Neodiprion lecontei: one gene and its partner. The protein of the gene in region 1 interacts with the protein of each later gene in a pairwise test. Links are inferred from orthologs where the notes say so. Each region holds a gene or a part of one and is shown on either strand. Other genes may lie near its edges.

Evidence for each region.
Region 2: the proteins of calpain-D-like (region 1) and putative E3 ubiquitin-protein ligase UBR7 interact in a two-hybrid assay, tested with the Drosophila melanogaster proteins (2 studies listed by BioGRID). The link is inferred for Neodiprion lecontei from reciprocal best matches to the Drosophila melanogaster genes sol and CG15141.

The regions. Positions count from the first base shown.
Region 1 is NC_060265.1:8,932,576-8,937,519, forward strand, and holds the start of calpain-D-like, read left to right. Parts: upstream 1-1,906; 5' UTR 1,907-2,272; coding exon 2,273-2,592; intron 2,593-3,080; coding exon 3,081-3,472; intron 3,473-4,541; coding exon 4,542-4,944. UniProt on the Drosophila melanogaster protein: Has a role in eye development. Calcium-regulated non-lysosomal thiol-protease.
Region 2 is NC_060261.1:2,491,389-2,497,260, forward strand, and holds putative E3 ubiquitin-protein ligase UBR7, read left to right. Parts: upstream 1-2,082; 5' UTR 2,083-2,373; coding exon 2,374-2,514; intron 2,515-2,953; coding exon 2,954-3,142; intron 3,143-3,218; coding exon 3,219-3,368; intron 3,369-3,576; coding exon 3,577-3,685; intron 3,686-3,769; coding exon 3,770-3,942; intron 3,943-4,037; coding exon 4,038-4,197; intron 4,198-4,295; coding exon 4,296-4,447; 3' UTR 4,448-4,807; coding exon of another isoform or gene 4,808-4,813; 3' UTR 4,814-5,230; downstream 5,231-5,872. Other genes in the region: uncharacterized protein LOC107216708, read right to left, coding at 5,572-5,720, 5,804-5,872.

The DNA of each region.
Region 1 (4,944 bases):
ATTGCGTCTCGCAAATCTCATACATATTTCAAATTGACCTATAAAAATATTTTCCTGCAACACCCTCACATATTCAAAACTTTATTTAGTTTTTAGTATTGTTATTATGTTGTTATTCGTGGTTTTGTAATCAATTTCATATCTATTTGCGTTTAAAGTTTCTACATTATTCGTCGCATCGCGAGCAATGAATCGTGAAAGTGCAATTTCAGGAGCAAGAAAAATACGATTCTACGACCCGTTCCATGTTTCATTGTCAGACTGTCATGTGACAGCAGTGAATGTTTACTTGGAGAGCTGCAATTTTTAAATTGGTGCACAAGCATCCTCTTTTTCGTAACACAATTTTTTAGCAATCAGAGCTGTCGCAAGATAACAAATTTACGCGAGTATAGTAACGTGACGCAAATCTACCCGCACAACATTAAGCTGTTTTCAGGCGTTCTTTGACAAGCGACCGACGCGCTAGGAATAGTGACCAAGTATACACTGCGGTAAACTGGGTTGCCTATCTTACGGTTGAAAAAACTTCCAACTTTCTTCAGCACACTACGAATAAATTTTGTGATGAATTAAAAAAAAATCTAACCGTAGATACTTGAAACTGATCGAAAATCTAACTATTTCATTCTCAGAATCACTAATCTCTAAACAAAAAGTGGGAACGGCTGGAAAAAATAAATCTTACGTTTTTCGCTGTCTCCTACAAGGAACACCAGTTTGCTATCTCACTTCTAATTCATTGCAACTCGTACATGTTGTAGAACATTGGAAACTGAAAATACCTATTTTTTTTTTCTTGTCGGCGGAAAAAACGATCTAAAGGGGTGAAAACGATCCCTAAATATGGGCACCCAATGGGGTCATTTCTATATGCGCTTGATATATTTTAATGAAACCAATGCTGAAATATCGATCGTATATGGGAATGAAACATTTCAGCGTTTGTTTCATTGAAATACATCAAGCGCTTCCATCCGGAACTGAGAAACCATCCCATAGAGTGCCCATCTTTGGGAATAATTTTCACCCCTTTAAACCGTTTTTCCCTGATAAAAACAAAATACGTGTGTTTTAGTTTACAATGTTCTACAACATGCGTGAGTTGCAACGAAGTCAGAGGGGGACGGCAAAGTGATGTTCCTTATTGGTAAAGTCGGAAAAAAAATGAATATTGATTCAGTCCTCATAATTTTTATGATTTTTACTCGAAATAAAAATAACGGGTCATTGAGGGTAAATTTTAACTCGGGTTTAAGCGATCCTGTCAGATTTGGCCGGATCTATGCTAATTAATTTAGGGGTGGAAAAGAACAAGTAGTCCAAAAAAAAAGGCGTGAACCTTGTCATCCCTGGTGGGGATCGAACCCACGACCTTTGGATTAGAAGTCCAACGCGCTATCCTCTGCGCCACAGGGACTCGACAACAACCCAGATCTCCGCGCGTTCATATTTTGTACCTAGTTTTTTAATCCAAGGTGGCAGCATCAGTATGTCTCTCCTGTGACGTCACTTGCTAACGTATCGCGCGGTCAAGAACCCTGCTCACTCAACTTTCGAAGACAATGTAAAAGATACCGTGTCGCGTGATTTAGAAACGAAAAATTTCTAGTAATTTTTGTTTCTAATTATTGGATTAACACGTCTGTACGTATGTTAACTGACGTGCACAAAGTCCGTATCAGAAATAGTTAATCGACGATTTTTGTACATAGCTGCAACATCCCAATAAAAATCGTTCGGAATGCTTCAACTGCATCCAAATGAAAACACAGAAATTTTCAAAAAGTACATTACTCTCCGTCATCGGCGGGACGATATTAGAAAATTTGTTGTACGACGGAGTGATGGGTGGTAATAAACTTTGTACGTACGCTCCTGCGCTGAGGATCGCAGTAAGTCAACACCGCGGAAAGCGCGAAGAAACGTGAAAAAATCGAAACCTCTGTCCGTGCACGGTGTGTGGGATGATAAACGTTGTTGCTACGCGGTTGAGATGTTGAAATTCGGTTAAAAAAAATGAATTATAGATCGCGCGAGGTTATAGTTACTAGGATATTAAGTGATAACGGTAAAAGAAGGGACGGTGTTTGACAAGTGAGAATTCGGGATGCGAGCAGCGGTCTGATAAACATGGCCGCTCGAAAACATATGACAAAGGATAAAGCGCTGCGCTGCTTTTCTAGGACGAACAAAATACCGACATTTGATTGTTGAAAAATTGTCAGATTTCGAATTCAGGATATTAAAGAGCCATGAATACGAATGGAGAATGGGGTCAATCGCTTCGGTGCTACAGTGGCATTGTTCAAAGTGTTCTCTCATAAACCCGACCGAGAGCACGAGCTGCGCCAGGTGCGGGGAACCTCGTAGGGTATACGATAATAAAACAAATCCCGAAACATCATCCCCGAGCAGTACAAATGTCTGTGAAAAAAATAATCCCGATTCCGCGAACTCTACGCCTCCAACACCGCCACCACGACTCAATTTTACGAATCAGTTAAAATGCTACATACCAAAAACTAGCTGCGTTTACCATCAAAAACCGTTCTCGTTCACCGTAAAAAATAACAACGTCGTTCCGTCTGGGTGAGCAATATTTATTTACTTTATTCTGACACTCGTCCCCATATTCATGCCTGGTACCATTCGACGTATTTCAACTCAAAACCAGTCAAGTCTACCTAACATTGTACATACCCACGCAAATTACTTCAAGTGTAAACAAACGACGATCTATTATAAAAACCTACATCCAGTATGGAAACAAAGGAACTGAGAACAGTACTCTTATAAGTACGAAAAATCAATTTTTTCGTGTATCGGACTGAACCGTACAAAATTTTTTACATTTATCGCTAATCAACGAAACACTACAGCTGATAATCATTTGATTCGACTTAACAATACAACTTATCAGATAATACTAGGGTTCGTAGATCGTTCGCTGTGTCTACGATCAAAAATATATTCTGTTCAGCTTACAATTTCAAAAAAACTTGCAAATTAATTTTACACCACTTTCTCAACTGACTGTACTCTACCTCTTTAACTCAAACATTTATTATTTTCGTTAGGAATGATCCCGGATCAAGAAGCTCGGATAAAATATCTCGGCGCAACTCTTGGTCTGGGAGGACGAGAATTGAATCTGTATCATTAAAACACGGTGTATCTGTACCTTTGTTACCTACTCGCTGGACTTGCATCAGATGTTTGCAACCAAACAGCCAAAGCTCAGTGGCCAAGTGTATCGCCTGTGGAACTATTTCCTTGCCCGCATCGAATCAGGAAGGTCATATTTGGACGCGGAAAGCGAGGAGACCCGAAGTTCGCAAACTTAAAAACCTTCACCTCAATGATGACGAGGATCCAGCTAAAAGTTCGTCTTCGGGACTGGAAGATGGTGTTTTAAATGTGGAATTCAACGCAACATCAACTCCTTCCAATCTCGATAAAACCAATAAAGGTAAACAAATACGGTGACATTGCTTACAAGAGTAGATCCCGGTAATAAATTTTTGTTTGAAATTTCTGTAGTTTTTGTATAATACTGTAAGAAATTTCTATTTTTAGAAAAAATTAATTTTTTTCTCATAAATCTCTGCACTACCTTTAAAAATTCTTCTCCCACATGTAATACGATATCACTTATCTTCTATGATGCAACTTCCTGATATAAATCTTTGAAGCGCTTTCTTTCTCAAATATTTTCGCATTTTCTAGACAGTCAATGCTGATGAGCTACTCGCATAGTGTTTCGGTGTGTTCATAAATAACAAAGGCACGGGTAATAATCATGTCTGAAAATGTCAGAGCTTTAAAACCGAGGTTTCTCAGAATTCTTTAATTTTGGTTTTAAAAAAGGCAATTGACCTTTGGTATTAACTCCCAATTTTTATTTGACTGAAATCTAATTAGAAACTAAAATATGGAACATTCTAAACGAATTGATTTTTTTTATGCCGTTTTAAATGGCATGTGATAATATTTCAAACGAATCATTCAATTTGTTCCTCATTCCATCAGGTGAAAAATATACTTACAGGATATCTATCTTGATTTGTTCATGCACAAACTAAAATGATGTAAAGAGCATTTATGTAATGCTTCACTAATGGATTATAAAACAAAATTGATTGATCATGCACATAAAAACCTTAATATTTACGATAAATTTTACCATAACTTAGAAGAAACAATTGTAATCGTGCTGTGTTTTTATCACAGCCAAGATGAAATATTTAATCATTATTCATTTATTGAATGGTAAAATCCCTCTCTGTAGTTTTGTAAGATTAATCGGTGTTCCCAGCCTTGCACTTTGAAACACCTTAGTGTGTCAAATTCTTTTTGGTACTTCACAATGAATCACTGACTGTGGTCGATTAGATTAACAATTTAGAGCTTGCATGTATCAATTAAACTTTCAAGAAGCAAGAGATACATTATTCGGGGCTCTTGATTATTGCTAAAAAAGGAGTTGATTTTTCAAACTCTTTGAAGATAATTTTCTAGTAACTTTTTTCTTATCCTAGACATGGCCCAGCTGACCAGCCTCGGTCGTAGTGACAGAACAAGGTCCAACCGCGAAAGTTGGACGCTACCTCCTGTCGAAACCATGGATTCGCCCTCAATGGCCTATACGGACAACATAGATAATTCTCAGCGTTCACCAAAGCGTCACAGTCCCTCGGTGTACGAGCGTGTGAAATCTAAAGTGAGCCGTTCATTGTCGAATGGTTCTGTTGTTCAAAAGTTATCGGAGGCTGGGATCCAAAGACCAACTAGTCTCATAGTTTCGGAGGTGCAACAAGACAATGCCTTGTGGAGCTGCGACAACTGTACGCTAGATAATGCACCTGGCTTGGAACAATGCGAGGCATGCGAAGCACCTAGGAGCCCTGCACCCTGTAGCGGCGTAGTTATAAGTGTACCGGC
Region 2 (5,872 bases), on another chromosome or scaffold:
ATCTAGCCAGCGGCCCTGGCTGCCACATGAGAACCGCCTCGTGACTGGATAAAATGCTGCGCCAACATAATCTTCATTCGACTGTTCGGCGAAAGTCTGGTTTCGTACAGGTATGTATACCTATGTATCCACATACACCGTGTGTAGTTAGCATTTCTTGAATGAACGGTGAGTCGACGAAGTTTTGCAACGGTAATGTTTCGGGGCATAAAGTGCACCGGGAATTAATACACCGTTCCGAGTATCGCGTAGACTGGAGCTGGGAATGTTCAAGAAAACTAATAAAAGACACCCGTCACAACAGCTACAGCAATTGCGCAACAGTGTTTATTAAGAATCATCTTTCAGTAGTAGGTTTTGCGGGGGGGCGCAAGATCAGTGATTACACCAGAAACGAACCTCAGAAAAAAAAAGACAGTCTATTAAACGAGGATCGCTGGTTGGTTGTTAGTTCATTGCCAACATAGATAGTCAGAATTAATTTATAGACTTAGAACTAGGTAGTTGCTGAACGAGGTTAAAATTAGTAACGTTATCGTAACGTAATATTGAGCGAATGAATCCCTTTCTTTCTCAATTTTATAATGATTTTGAAGGAACTAAGATCGTGAAATGTGAGTGTGTTCTCATTTATTTCAGGCAATTTCAAAAGCGCGAAACACGGTTTTTCCTCAGCATGAATCGTTACGATAACGTTACAAAATTTAATACGATGTTGCTGAATAAATAAGAATCGCAAGATGTGAAGAGGGTAGGCACATGGAAACTACTTTCTAAAGTTGAACAACGAACGAACGCACGCAGGCTCAAGCCAGCACATCGCAACTAATCGTAAAAGCTAAGGTGCTCTCTCTCACTCTCTCTTGCTTACACACAATCAGTTTCCTCCGATCGAAAACGTGGCGACCGAGTTAAGGTGAAGCAACTGCCATGACGCAGGCCAACAATAAGATAACCCGAAACCCGCGTAGCAGCCTCGGATTGGCTGTAAGGGTGGGTGTGCAGCGGCCGCGCCTCCGAAACGAAATATATGCTATGCATTCGGATATGTGACGATTTTGTACACAGCTGTGTTCGCCCGAAGTGGGGAAAAAGATAACTCGACTGTTGCTAATTATAGCTGCGCGTGTAGCTTTAGATACAGTGTATGTACGCAGCTACGTTCCGCTCATGCATGCACGATGTGTCTACTCACGTTTATCAGACGCGCAGTTGACCAGTCGGACGAAACTATCATGTATTATGGGGATATGTTGTCTGGAAACGAAGACGTGCCGATCCTCGGCTCTTCGTGCTTCTTTCTACTCGGTATTAAGACAGGTAAAGGTGTCGACCACCTTCGCATTCGCCCGCTTCTCCCACGACGTACGACCTTCAACCCACTCCGTGTGTACGCCACTTGATATTTAATTTATGAGAACGAAAAATTCTCTAATGTACCGCGCCAGGACCACCGACCTCACTCGACGTGAGTCGGAAGCATACTGGCCAACTCAGGACGGCCTCTACCTCTTCTCACCGAAACCAGCCTGTACCCTGAACTTTGCCGCTTTTCGTGCGGTTTTAAGAGTTTAGACCTATGATTTCCACGACATCAATGAAGAGGTCGCTACTGTCTGTAGATTGGCGCAGCAGCGTCTATGAATTATAAAACTGAAATGGTGTCCTCGGTGTAATTACTGAGCTGTACTCCGCAGGTAACTGAGCGGTACTCTGTCAGTAACTGAGCTGTACTCTGCTGTATTTGGCGTCAAGGGAAGAGCAGAGATTCATACTTCGATTGGGAAAAAAGTATACCCGCGACTGCTGATTGATTGCTTCCAATCATCGATATCTTCCAATTAACTTTGCAATATGATTGCTTCGCAAAGCTGAAAGCAGGCTGACCGCCTGAATTGAAGGATGTAATTACTCAAGTATCAAAAATGTTGCAGTAGCTTTGAAACTCGAACGACGATGATGCAGCATATAAAAAATATGATTAGCAATAATAGTAGTCATTGAATCTCCCTAAATTTCTTCACAATTTAGAAAATATAATTTTTTCAACAGGTTAGAATTACGAAAAGTCATTGGACCTCGTAGGTGGCCACCTTGCGGGCTGAACTTGTTGTTTTAGCGTGTATTTGAGCGCGAAAGTTGCAGAGTGTTTCGTAGGGGAAGAGTCACATCGTTTAGAGGTATGGGCGAGTAGAATTTGTCGGAAAATTTCTCATAATATGTTACTATTCGTGAAATAAATTGAGGGCAAATATACCTAGATCGAGAAAATTACTTTTAAATTTGTGAAAGCCGTTAACTAGCCTCCAGGGTAAATAATTGTGATCAATTATACCAATACGCGGAATAAAGTCAGTTCAAAGAAGTCGAAAAATGGCCGAGAAAAGCGCTGATATTTTAGAGGAGGATAATTCTGTCACGATGCTCGATGTTCTTCAAGAGGAAAATCAACTAGAGGAAGACGCCTACGCCGTGCTGGGTGCTTCCGATGATAAAAATTGCACCTATAACAAGGTATTCAGCCGCACTTTGAGCTCGGAGTTAACAGATTTTAACCTTTCCTCTCTACACCACATCCTCGACAACCACTCATCAGACTTTGGTTCTTTTATTGTATAATATATCGAAGATATTTCTCAACGCGAGATAAATTTCATTCAAAGCTATATTTTTCCACTCGCCGTAAGTAAATTTTCTCCCCGTTTCAACGTATCCTATATTGTGCATTACGTATTCACGATGCCAAACACCTAACGCAGATGTATATCACGTTAATGGCAGAAATGTCAACGAATTTTATGTAAACAGTAAACAGTTTTCTTTTTTCGTCAACACAATCTTACATAGATTTTTCGGATCCTAATCGAATTTCTTGCTTATATTCTTGGATGCTCAATGCAAATCTGTCAAGATCTAGGTATTCCTCTTGAAATACACCAACCCAAATTTCCAGGGCTACATTCGGCAGGCACTTTATGCCTGCAAGACCTGTCGCGGTGACGGAAATCCCGCCGGAGTGTGTCTGGCCTGTAGTTTTCAATGCCACGAGGGGCACGAGCTGGTTGAGCTTTACACCAAGCGCCACTTTCGCTGTGATTGTGGAAATTCCAAATTTGGTGACAAAAAGTGTAGCTTGGAACTGGTGAGGATTCTTTTCTTACACGGCATGGTTGAATGCGTACCAATCAATTTTCATGCTCATTTTCTATTTCTTTCAGACCAAACTCGACACTAACGAAGAAAATCAATACAACCAAAACTTTGATGGCTTTTATTGTACCTGTGCCAGACCTTATCCAGACCCTGAGGATACTAGCGGAGATGAAATGCTCCAGTGTGTTGTATGCGAGGATTGGTATCACTCCAAGGTCAGAGAGTAGACGACTTTAAATGAACCGCCTCGCGTCAGCCTGAAATTTCTTTACAGTCATAAAATTTTAGAAATATGTAGGGAGAAGAGATTTCAATATCACTGTTGAATTTCTCTTTGTTGCTAGTTTTAATCTACCTTCAAATCCGTCTTGGGTTTGTACAGACTTCAGTTTTTCACAATTTTTTTTTCTTTTCACCATTTAGCATCTTGGTTGCGGAGATATTTCCCCTCCTGATGATTATGACGAATTGATTTGTTCTGGGTGTATGCAGAAACACACGTTCCTTTGGAAATATGCTTCGAAGTACTCAGGTAGATCTCACTTTAAGTTGAAAAATAACTCAATGCTATCCAGAGTTTAATCTAAAGGCTAATTTATTGAGGATATCATCACAGTGAATAGGGATGCGAAGAAGGACTCATCCAATGGAAAGGACGAAACTGTAGATGTCGAAAACGTTCCTGCAGGTTGTAAGATACCGCTAGAACCGCAATCAACGTCAACGGGTGCCTGTTTTTGGGCAGAAGGTTGGCGATCATCTTTGTGCACTTGCGACAGTTGCAAAAAGGTATACTCTTTTACTGTGAAATCTTCTAAAAGTTTCGCAGCCTTTTTGAAACATTATATTGTTCTATGTGTTCAATATTTACTTACGCTTGTTAGACATATGAACAAAGCGGTATCGAATTCTTGCTCGATCCGATGGACAGTGTCCAGGTTTACGAAGAGGCTGGAAAAGCTAGCCAGACTGAATCCCAGTATGAAAGAGGAATGAAGGCACTCGCCTCACTCGGTCATGTTCAGCAATTAACTGCTATTGAAGGTGAGGTCACGAATACACAATAATTTATTCAAATTTCCGATTCTTTTGGAATATAATAAAACAAAATTATTTTCCTTTTTTTCTCGATACTTTGTTAGAATTCAACAACATGAAGGAAAGACTCAAAGAATACCTTCAAAAGTTTGCCGAGAACAAGAAGATTGTACGCGAGGAGGATATCAAAGAATTCTTTTCTGGGATGGAAGCAAACAAACGTCAGAAGGTTGTTGTGCCAACATTTTGTCGTTGATTAGGAAAAAATAAAAAAAATAAGATCAATGAAAGGAAAATTAACAGATATGTGAATTTATAAAGAAAACGCAATATGCCCGCGTACTCGTATTTTATCCCATAATATTATTAGGGTCTTAAAAATTATTATGTATAATCATCTATGTGTCGTAAATATAATATTATAATTTGCAAAATCAGTATTTCTATAATGTATATTAATACTATTGAAAATTTACCTCAGGTTTTCCTCTCTCCAAAATTAGCTTCAGTTAGATTCGGTTTTTTTTTTTTTTGTAAAAGTTCTCGAGAATGGTATTTGTTAAACTAAAATAGTGCCGATATACGAAAAAGCTTAACACATACCTAATAATTACAGCTCTGAATCCCGCTGGAATCGCAAAACAGACGACGAATTAACAGGGGTCACTTCAAAAGAATTTCCCGAACAGAATTATCATCACGTAATTGTTTAAGCCATCGAACAAACAAAAATTAAGTATTATTAATCATGTCTAAAATTATTGTTGTTATTTTCGTTATCTTATAGCTAGGTAACAGTCGTTATGTTCAGTAATAAATAACAACGGATCTTATAAAAATATGTAACGTCTTTCAAAGTCTTTTTAAAGTATATTCAAGATGCTGCTTGTATATAATTTGCCATAAATTAAGGATCGGTAATGAGTGAAGATAAACGTTTGATAAATCAATTATAGAATTTCGTTTGTAATAGGAATTGCTATAAATTTCATTATACACATAAATTCAACTGAGCGATATTCATTGCCAAGTAATGCGATGTGTAAAAAGAAAAATATTACCTGTCGCTTGTTGAATATTCAAATTTGTCTAACATGCTAATTAATCGCACGTTTACATATTCACGCAGTAGTTATCGCGAATGTGATGCAGGAATAATACGCGATCTTTTTTAAGCCATCATCATAGCTTGAACTATCTTACAATTTCACAAATAATAAATAAAAGTTTACATTTAAACTATAAGTATTACCTGATATAATATTAGTCACATAAACTCTTATCATCTCCAGTTAAGATGATCTAAATGGATTCTGCATTTTGAGGCAAAGTAAAAGCACGTGAACAATTTATTTCCTATAATGTTATCTACTGTAGTTATTATATTCCAATGTCAGACGGTTGATTTTTTGAAACACTGATTGTGTTGTTGTTGTTGTTCAGTTGTAACGGTACCACCAATATCGGATCATTGCTTTTTGGATTGTCAGTATAGACGGACCAGGTTTTCTCAATGCAGTCAAATATACCTGGTGAAAATAATGAAAGGAAGAAAAAAATAGTTGATTACAAACTCCTTGGACTCGCTACTCACTGTATATATTGCACTCACCGACAGCGATAGTTGTGATGCCATCCTCGTTTCCGGACTCAAAGACTTTGAACTCATTATCAGTCTGAT